2 linked regions of the Coturnix japonica genome follow. The protein of the gene in region 2 purifies or fractionates together with the protein of the main gene of each other region. This does not show direct contact. Links are inferred from orthologs where the notes say so. Each region holds a gene or a part of one and is shown on either strand. Other genes may lie near its edges. The genes, in order: ATRAID and SLC37A3.

Region 1 (4,455 bases), on a different chromosome or scaffold from region 2:
TTGACATGGTCCCCAAATGCACCTCCTCATTCTCCATGGAGGGAGTGATTTGATGCGTGGCAACCGATGGATAAGCAATGGTGAAAGGCCGCAGACAGAGGGTGGTGGTCAATGCCCGTCTATTTCCATGTGGAGGCCGGTACGAGTGGTGATCCCAAGTGGTCTTTAGGGACCGTGCTCCTTTAACATCTTTATACATGGCGACACTTCGATGAGGGACATGCGAGTGCAACCCTGTCAGCAAGTTTGCTGTCATGAACACAAGGCTGAGTGGTGCAGTCGATACGGGTGGAGAACGGATTGCCATTAGATGTGAGACGCTCTGACAGCTCGGAAAGCGTGGCTCGGCGATGGAACTAATGGTAGGTCAGCACAGCTAAAGGCAAGGTGTTAGTGGCACTTTGGTCGTAGGAAGAACTCAGGCACTGGTAGACAGCATTTAGAGTAGTTGTGACGTACTGATGACCTTTGAGAGCACCTCGTCAGAACAAAGGACCTAGCGTGTCCTGACCCTGGTGAAGCTGTGCTGGCTGTCTCGGATCACGTGCTCGTTCTTTATGTGATTGAGCATGTTGTCCAGGAGGATCTGTTCCATCATCTTCCCAGGCACGGAGGTGAGACTCACCGGCCTGTAGTTCCCCAGGTCCTCCCTGCTCCCCTTCTTGTAAATGGGGGTGACACAGAGACAGCCTCATAACCACACACGCTTTATTAACCCCCTGCCCCACCGTCCGGCCCCGTCCCACATCTGAACTCCTGGTTGCAGTCACATCCCTGCAGCGTGTCGGCGCTGGGTGCCCCACAGCGCGATGCTCAGCGCTGCCGTCACTGTGCCCAGCACGCTGCAGAACAGCGGCACGGGGAAGGAGCCCTGTAAGGTGAGCACGGTGAGATCATGAGATTGCTGACCCCTCCAAGCCCCCCCTGCCCCCCCAGCCCCACACCCACCTGTCGCAGGCACTTGTAGCCATGGAAGGGGCTGGCACAGAGGCACTGGGAGAGGCCGGGTCCGTCCGGGGCACAGACGGCGTTCTCAGGGCACAGCGGGGCTGGTGGGCAGCACAGGGTCACGGGCCGCCCTGCCCGGTGCCACGCAGGGCTACAGTGGGAGCAGGGAGAGCCCCAACGTACCGAGCTCCTCGGAGCCGTTGCAGGGGTTCCTCTGGCCCTGGCACAGGCGGCTGCTGCCATTTGTCGTCACCTCCTCCCACGCTTTGCTGCCACCCGGGCACGGCACTGCCAGCGGCACCGCGCTGCAAACACAGCTCAGCACCGGGCACAGGGCTCAGCCCACAGCCCGGCACAGCTCAGCCCCACACTCACAGTTGTTGCAGCTGCGTGAAGCCCAAGAAGGAATCATTGGGGAGCGCCAGCAGCGGGTTGTCCGTCAGGTCCCTACCAACGCATCACACCGGCTGCACCCCGGGGCCAGCACTGACTGACAGCACAGGGTGGGATGGGCAGCCGAGCCCCCCCCACACCTCCCCCTTCCCTCAGCACTCACAGCACGACGGCAGCCGCGGCCTCACTGAATTCACTGGGGAGGGTCTGCAGGGAACAGTTGCTGAGGTCCAACCTGGAGGGGCAGCACCGGGAGCCCTGTGTTCCCCCGTTCCACTCCCATACCCCACGGCCCATGACCCACAACACACCCACACCACAGCCGTGCCCTGTAGTGTACCCAATACCCATAGCACACTCCAAACCCGTACCCATTACCCCATCCCCATCCCATCTCCATCCCCATCACACCCCATCCCTATATCCCCATCCCATCCAATCCCCATCTCCATTCCTATCCAATCCCCATCCCATCCCATCCCATCCCATCCCTATATCCCCATTCCTATCCCATCCCCATCCCATCCCTATATCCCCATCCCATCCCTATATCCCCATCCTATCCCTATATCCCCATTCCTATCCAATCCTCATCCCATCCCATCTCTATATCCCCATCCCCATCCCTGTATCCCCATCCCCATCCCATCCCCATTCCTATCCAATCCCCATCCCATCTCTATAACCCCATCCCATCCCTATAACCCCATCCCGATCCCATCCCCATCCCACCCCATCCCTATAGCCCCATCCCCATCCCTATATCCCCATCCCATCCCCATTCCTATTGAATCCCCATCCCATCCCATCTCTATAACCCCATCCCCATATCCCCATCCCATCCCTATATCCCCATCCCCATCCCTATACCCCCATCACATCCCCATACCATCCAATCCCCATTCCTATCCAATCCCCATCCCATCCCATCTCTATAACCCCACTCCATCCCTATATCCCTATCCCGATCCCACCCCTATCCCTATATCCACATCCCTATATCCCCATCCCATCCCATCCCTATATCCCCACCCCTATATCCCCATATTCCCTATATCCCCAATACCCCTATACCCCTATACCCCTGTATCCCCATATCCCCTATACCCCGCTATACTCCTCCATACCCCAGCAGTTGCTGTCCCGCTCCCCGCACACAGCACCGCCCGTTGATGTTCCCGTGGCCGTTCCCGCAGTACAGTGTCACAATGGACCCGTTTCTCGCCGTTCCCGGGCACGTCCCGCACAGCGGCGGGGCGGTTCGGCCGGTACCGGGCTCCGGTACCAACAGCAGCAGGAGGAGGAGGAGGGACCCCACGGCTCCGCTTCCGGCAGCGCCGCCCCGCCCCGGTCGGGCTGGTCCTGTTGTCGGGGCGGAACGGCCGCAGTGTGCGTGCAATGGTTCAGCCATTAACGGGCCATTAACGGGCCGCGCGCACCGGGAACAGCGCGGACAGAGGGAGCCGAGGCGCGACGACCCGACCCCGGAGCAGCCACGTGACGAGATCCGCGCACGGGATTGGACGGCGGGGCGATGACGGCATCGGGGCGCGCGGAGAGCTGGGCTGGAGGTGAGGGCGATGCTCGGCGTCGTGACGTCATCAGAGCGTGCCGCGGCGCTGTCAGGTGCACGTGGGCTGAGCCGGGAGAGCGGCCGGTGAGTGGAGGAGGAACCGGAACGTGTGTGGGAACGGGACACACGGGAGGGGGAGCGACGGAACGGGAGGGTGCGGGAACGCGGGGCGGGGCGGGGAGCGGGAACGGGGGCACAGCGGGAATCGGGGCGGCCTTCGGGCTGCGGACGGCGGGGAAACAACGAGGGGAGCGGGGAGTTGGTGTGCGGACACCGGGACACCGGGATACCGGGACACCGGGACATGGGGAGCGGGGACACCAGGACACCGGGATACCAGGACATGGGGAGCGGGGACACCGGGACACGGGGATACCGGGACATGGGGAGCGGGAACACCGGGACACGGGGAGCGGGGACACCAGGACACCGGGATACCAGGACATGGGGACATGGGGAGTGGGGACACCGGGACATGGGGACACCGGGATACCGGGACATGGGGACATGGGGAGTGGGGAGAACGGGACATGGGGAGCGGGGACACCGGGACATGGGGAGCGGGGACACTGGGACATGGGGAGCGGGGACACCGGGACACTGGGATACCGGGACATGGGGACATGGGGAGTGGGGACACCGGGACATGGGGACACCGGGATACCGGGACATGGGGACATGGGGAGCGGGGACACCGGGACACTGGGATACCGGGACATGGGGAGTGGGGACAACGGGACATGGGGACACCGGGATACCGGGACACCAGGACATGGGGAGCGGGGACACCGGGATACCAGGACACAGGGAGCGGAGATGGGACGTGGGACATGGGGGGGCAACGAGGGGACCGGGAACACGGCGGCACCGGGAGTGAAGCCTTGAGGTCAAGGGGGCACCGGGACACGGGGCAGGAGCACCGGGGGGGAACGCCGGGCACGGGGCCAGGAGGTGGGGGGGGGGGATCGCCCCGTGTTGTGTCTCGGAGCGCGGTGGGTGACCTTGGACCGTGCCCGCCGTGCGGGCGGGGCGGGCAGCGCTGCCCTCTCGCCTCCTTTCGGCACCGCCAACCCCCGCTCCTCGCTCCGGGCACCGGGGGCCGATCCAGAGCCGCATTCCTGCGCGGATCAGCGCCGCCCGCCCCGTCGTAGCGCGGCCCCAGGTGGGGGTTGCGCCTTAACGAGTGCGGGAGGAGCGGCGGGTTCGGCCGCACGGAGCCCGACCGCGTCACGCCGAGCCCGTCCGTCCCGCTCCGGCCGTGCCGGTCTCGCCGGCTGCGGGGCCGGGGTCGGCGTCGGGCGGGGCCGCCCCCGTTCGCCTTTGGCCCGGAGACGAGCTGCGGGGGAGCGGGGCGGGGAAGGCTGCGGTGACCCCTCCCGGGTGCGTCGTTCCCCCCCCCTCAGGTCCTTGAGGCGGGCCGACAACTCCGGAGCGAAGGTCCCCGCGAGGACGAGCGGGGCCGGATTCGCCGTCGCCACCTCCCGCAGCGCCGGGCGCTGCCGGCCGGGCCCCTCCGCCCATGAACCGGAAAAGTGGGGGCG
Region 2 (4,267 bases):
CCCCATTAGAAAAACAAGCAAACAATCCAAACCTGGCCTACAAATGTATCTAACTCAACTACTGTCAGGTTTAGTTTGATTCTGCCTCCCCAAAGGAACATCCTACGCAGACAGCACCAATTATACAACTGCTTAGTTTAAGAGACTTAACTTCGATATGGCCAATCAACACAGCTTCTGCTTAAGTCTCACATGTCAAAGGAAACTAATAAGGCCCTTGAAAAACATTCGCTGCCACTTGAAGCCACCAGCACCTACTTATAGCAGTAGATGTCAACTTTTATCAGATTCCTGGAGTTCCACAAGCTATTAAGTGTCTTAGAAAGGTAAGAGAATCAAATCTCTTGTCACTAGGTTTGAACTTATTATAAAACCCCCAGACGACTTACAAATCCATAAAGACTGAGAAGTGCAGATCTAATAAAATCACGGTATCGTTACCAGCACCGGAAAGCCAGAGCCAGGATGTTAAAGGACTGTAACCCCATTCACTGCTCTCCTTTATTGCCTCCGGCACTTCAAAGCAGGATCCCTCCTTCCCCCTCCCTCACCTCCTCTGTTCTGTTGGCTCTATGAGCAGGGGGGTGTCCCAGTCTCAATCAGAACACCAACTTCCTTACTAATTTCTCTCTGGGAACCACTAGGAAAGTGTTCAACACCAGCTGGTAATCCAGAAAACTACATTCATTAACCTGAAGTTTCCACACACATTCAGAGAAGCAGCCCTGACAGCAAGAAATAAAAGAGCCTCTTCAGCACTACAACCTAAGCTTACTGGAATCTACTCATCTTTCTTAGCACTTGCTGGTTACCTCATTTGGCCGGAGCTCAAAAGTTGTGCTGTTCAGGCAGGACGGAGTCCACTGGTTTGAAATGCTGACTTTGACATTACTGAACGTCTTTCTGGAAGCGTGGAGCAAGGAGTAACTGCCAGAAAAAAACACAAGCACAGGTTGGCCAAATCTTCTCTGCTGGTCATATGGGAAAGGGCAAGACTCAAAAGTCAGACATATGCTCCAAGGAACAGAGAACTGACATTTTGGAGATGGTTGCTAGCAACAGGAGCTCCGAAAACATGGGCAGACACTGACTTCAGAGAGGGAGAATCTGTCTTGTGCACCCACCCAGGACAACCCTTCTGCCACGGGCTGTGTTCCTGGCAGTCAGTCTCACCTTTGGTGAGGGCTCTGTTGGTGGCTGCATTCCCCAAGGGCACCGCAAGCTTCACTTAGCTACTGCAGGACTCTCAGACCAGCTGTTTCTATTGACTTTTTGTGTTTGCTTTCAAGGCTCAGAGCCAAAAATAAGAGTACGTCCCTACTTCTGCTCTCCTTCTTTAGACGAGCTCTGTACCTCCCCACGTTCAGTGAAACAAACACCGCTCTGTAGAAGGACACAGCCTACCTGAAGAAGGTCAGCAGGAACACCACAACATGATGATGAGTGCAATGGGACACCAGGCCTCTGTTTGCAGGCTGCCTCCGTGAGCTTCCAGGCACAGCCATGGCCCTGCTCCCGCCCAGGCAGCAAAGGTTGCTCGATGCTTAGGTCATTTTGTCTGCTTGCTTAAAGAGAAGAAGGTGGGAAGGGAGAAAAGAAGAAAGCATACGAATTAAAACACAAGTCTAAATACAGTGCTGGTCACCAAACAGCCAGAATTCAGCAGGAATGGCTCTGCTATTCCTCCTCACTTCAGTTCACGTTTCTATCCATCTCATCAGCTGTACATCCCTCGACAACTCGCATTTTTTCATTCCCATTCCCCAAGCACCCCTTGGTCATCCTCCAACCCATGTATTTCTTGCATTCCTCAGTACCCATCACTGAGGAGTCCTCCAGGATCTACCAACTGCAGCTCTTCCCATGTCAAATGCTATTTGACAGAGCAAATTCTCAGCAACACTATTTTTCAACACAGTCACCGCTATTGGCCGTGCAGTTTCACCATCGATGAACAAGTGCCTTCACACCTTCCCCTGGCCTGAGCAGATGGGAGCCAAAAGGCACCAAACCAGGACTATACAATTGCTGTGGTAGGATAGTCCAGCCAAGACTGACACTGTGCTCCACAGTCTTCAGATTGGTACAGCTGCTGTGCTGCAGGAGGAAGGTTGTCTTCTTCTTTGGCCTGACTCCAGAAGTTGGAGCCTTCAGCTCAGTCAGCATCACGATGTAGTGGTCAGAGTTGATGGTGTGATCCAGGGCAGCATCACCTTCAGCCTCATACTGGCTCAACAGGTCCTGATGAAGTTGCACGTGCTGCTCTTTCTGTTCCTAAGTGAGCATTCGTGGGACCCACACTGCAAACTCTGCACTATTCCAACACTGTCGCTGTCATTTCCAATGCGCTGACACCAATATTCAGCTCTGTACACCATTCCCTGGTTGTTATCACCAATGGAGACACTCTTCACTCCGTACTGTGTACAGCAATCTGGAATGCATCTTGTCCTCCACGTCACTGCTGTAATGCACCACACACAGCCTCTCTGTGCTCACACCCACCCTTTGATGTTCAGCAAGCACCGATGAATGCCCACCATGCCCACATCCCTCAGTGCCACATCCACACGGCTCCGGAACACCTCTGGGGACGGTGACTGCACCACCTCCCTGTGCAGCCTGTGCCAGCACAGCACCGCTCCTGCCGAGAGGAAACGTTCCGTAACACCCGACCCGAACCTCGCCAGGTGCATCGTAAATCCATCCATCCATCCATCCATCCCCCTCCCATCAGCTCCCGGCCCCGCATCCCCCCGTACCGCACTGTGCCGAACCTCCGCGGCGCTCAGGAAGCGGCGACCCGGAACGGCGGTGTCGGTCCACGGGCACGGCGGGACTTGTAGGCCGGGAGTCCGCCCGGCGGCCCCGCCTCGCAGCCGGCGTGGAAGGGAGGGGAGGGGAGGGGAAGGAAGCGGCACCGCCCCGGCCGAGGGGCGGAGGGAGAGGAGAAGGAAGGGCTGGGACTACGTTTCCCGTCGACCCGGTGCGGCGGGGCGGGGTACAAAGCGGCGCTACCTGGGCGGCAGGTGAGCCGTGCAGGTGGGGCGGCTCTGGTTCGGGTCGTGCTGCTGCTGGAGGTGCGGGCAGCCCTTGTTCGGGGTACGGCCCTTCACCCCGTGCTTTGCCGGCACTGCAGGACCGGGCTGCGGGATGCCGTTCTCCAGCTCCAGCGCGGACGACGCGTTCGATTACCTCTTTAAGATCATCCTGATCGGGGACTCCAACGTGGGGAAGACGTGCGTGGTGCACCGCTTCAAGACGGGGCAGTTCTACGAGAAGCAGCAGAACACCATCGGGGTGGACTTCACCGTGCGCTCCGTGGATATCGACGGCAAGAAGGTCAAGGTGGGTGATGGGAGCGGGCTGGGAGGCGCCTCGGGGCGGGACTGCGGCCCTGCCTCCATTACCGCATCGAGAGCGGCATCCCGGGGTCTGAAGGGGGAATGTGAGAAGGAACGGGACAGACTCTATAGCGGGGTCTGCTGTGGTGGGATAAGGGGAGGTTTAAACTAGACATCAGGAGAAAGTGTTTTACCATAAGCATAGTGGAGCACTGGCACAGTGACACCCTAAGAGGCGGCGGATGCCCCATCCCTGCTGATACCCAAAGTCAGGCTCTGAGTACCCTGATGTAGCTGTGGGTGTTTGGGACCTCAAAGATCATCTAGTTTCAGCCCCTCTGCTATGGACAGGGTCACCAAACACTGGACCAGACTGCCACATCCACCCTGGATCTACTGGCCTTCACAACTTGATTCCTTTCTCTTGCAGATCCAAGTGTGGGACACGGCTGGTCAGGAGCGCTTCCGGACAATAACCCAGTCCTATTACAGGAGCGCCCATGGAGCCATCCTTGCCTACGACCTCACTAGGAGGTCCACGTTTGAGTCTATTCCTCACTGGATTCATGAGGTTGAAAAGTATGGTGCTGCAAACTTGGTCATGATGTTAATTGGTAGGAATCTAAATATTATGTTTTATAACTTTTCTAATATATGTGCAAAATCCTCCCCACTGTTGCTTAGAGCACCCGTGAACCTCTTAATTAAAAGGGGAACGTGGTTTTAATTAAAATAATGAAAATACACATCTCAAATAATTAAAAAGAAAGCCACAGCCTGACCCTGGTAGGACGGGGCCCACTGCAGACAGTGAAATCTCTTCACGTTTTCCTTTCCTGCTGAAATAATGTGAGGATCTTGTTGGTAGCGTAGCAAGCAAATACAACCCTATCGGTGTTAGAATGGCTGTAAGCCTGACCCTG

Evidence for each region.
Region 1: the proteins of SLC37A3 (region 2) and ATRAID purify together in Homo sapiens (affinity purification with mass spectrometry; 3 studies listed by BioGRID and IntAct, counting the BioPlex papers as one, with this or other methods). This does not show direct contact. The link is inferred for Coturnix japonica from reciprocal best matches to the Homo sapiens genes SLC37A3 and ATRAID.

The regions. Positions count from the first base shown.
Region 1 is NC_029518.1:95,344,204-95,348,658, forward strand, and holds ATRAID (all-trans retinoic acid-induced differentiation factor), read right to left. Parts: upstream 2,875-4,455; 5' UTR 2,753-2,874; coding exon 2,469-2,752; intron 1,577-2,468; coding exon 1,505-1,576; intron 1,396-1,504; coding exon 1,324-1,395; intron 1,254-1,323; coding exon 1,132-1,253; intron 1,050-1,131; coding exon 949-1,049; intron 872-948; coding exon 767-871; 3' UTR 692-766; downstream 1-691. Other genes in the region: collagen alpha-1(I) chain-like, read right to left, coding at 4,142-4,435. UniProt on the Homo sapiens protein: Promotes osteoblast cell differentiation and terminal mineralization. Plays a role in inducing the cell cycle arrest via inhibiting CCND1 expression in all-trans-retinoic acid (ATRA) signal pathway.
Region 2 is NC_029516.1:55,554,099-55,558,365, reverse strand, and holds the start of SLC37A3 (sugar phosphate exchanger 3), read right to left. Parts: upstream 2,897-4,267; 5' UTR 2,763-2,896; intron 1,566-2,762; 5' UTR 1,506-1,565; coding exon 1,405-1,505; intron 928-1,404; coding exon 813-927; intron 1-812. Other genes in the region: RAB19 (ras-related protein Rab-19), read left to right, coding at 3,154-3,348, 3,775-3,958. UniProt on the Homo sapiens protein: Unlike the other SLC37 members, lacks glucose-6-phosphate antiporter activity.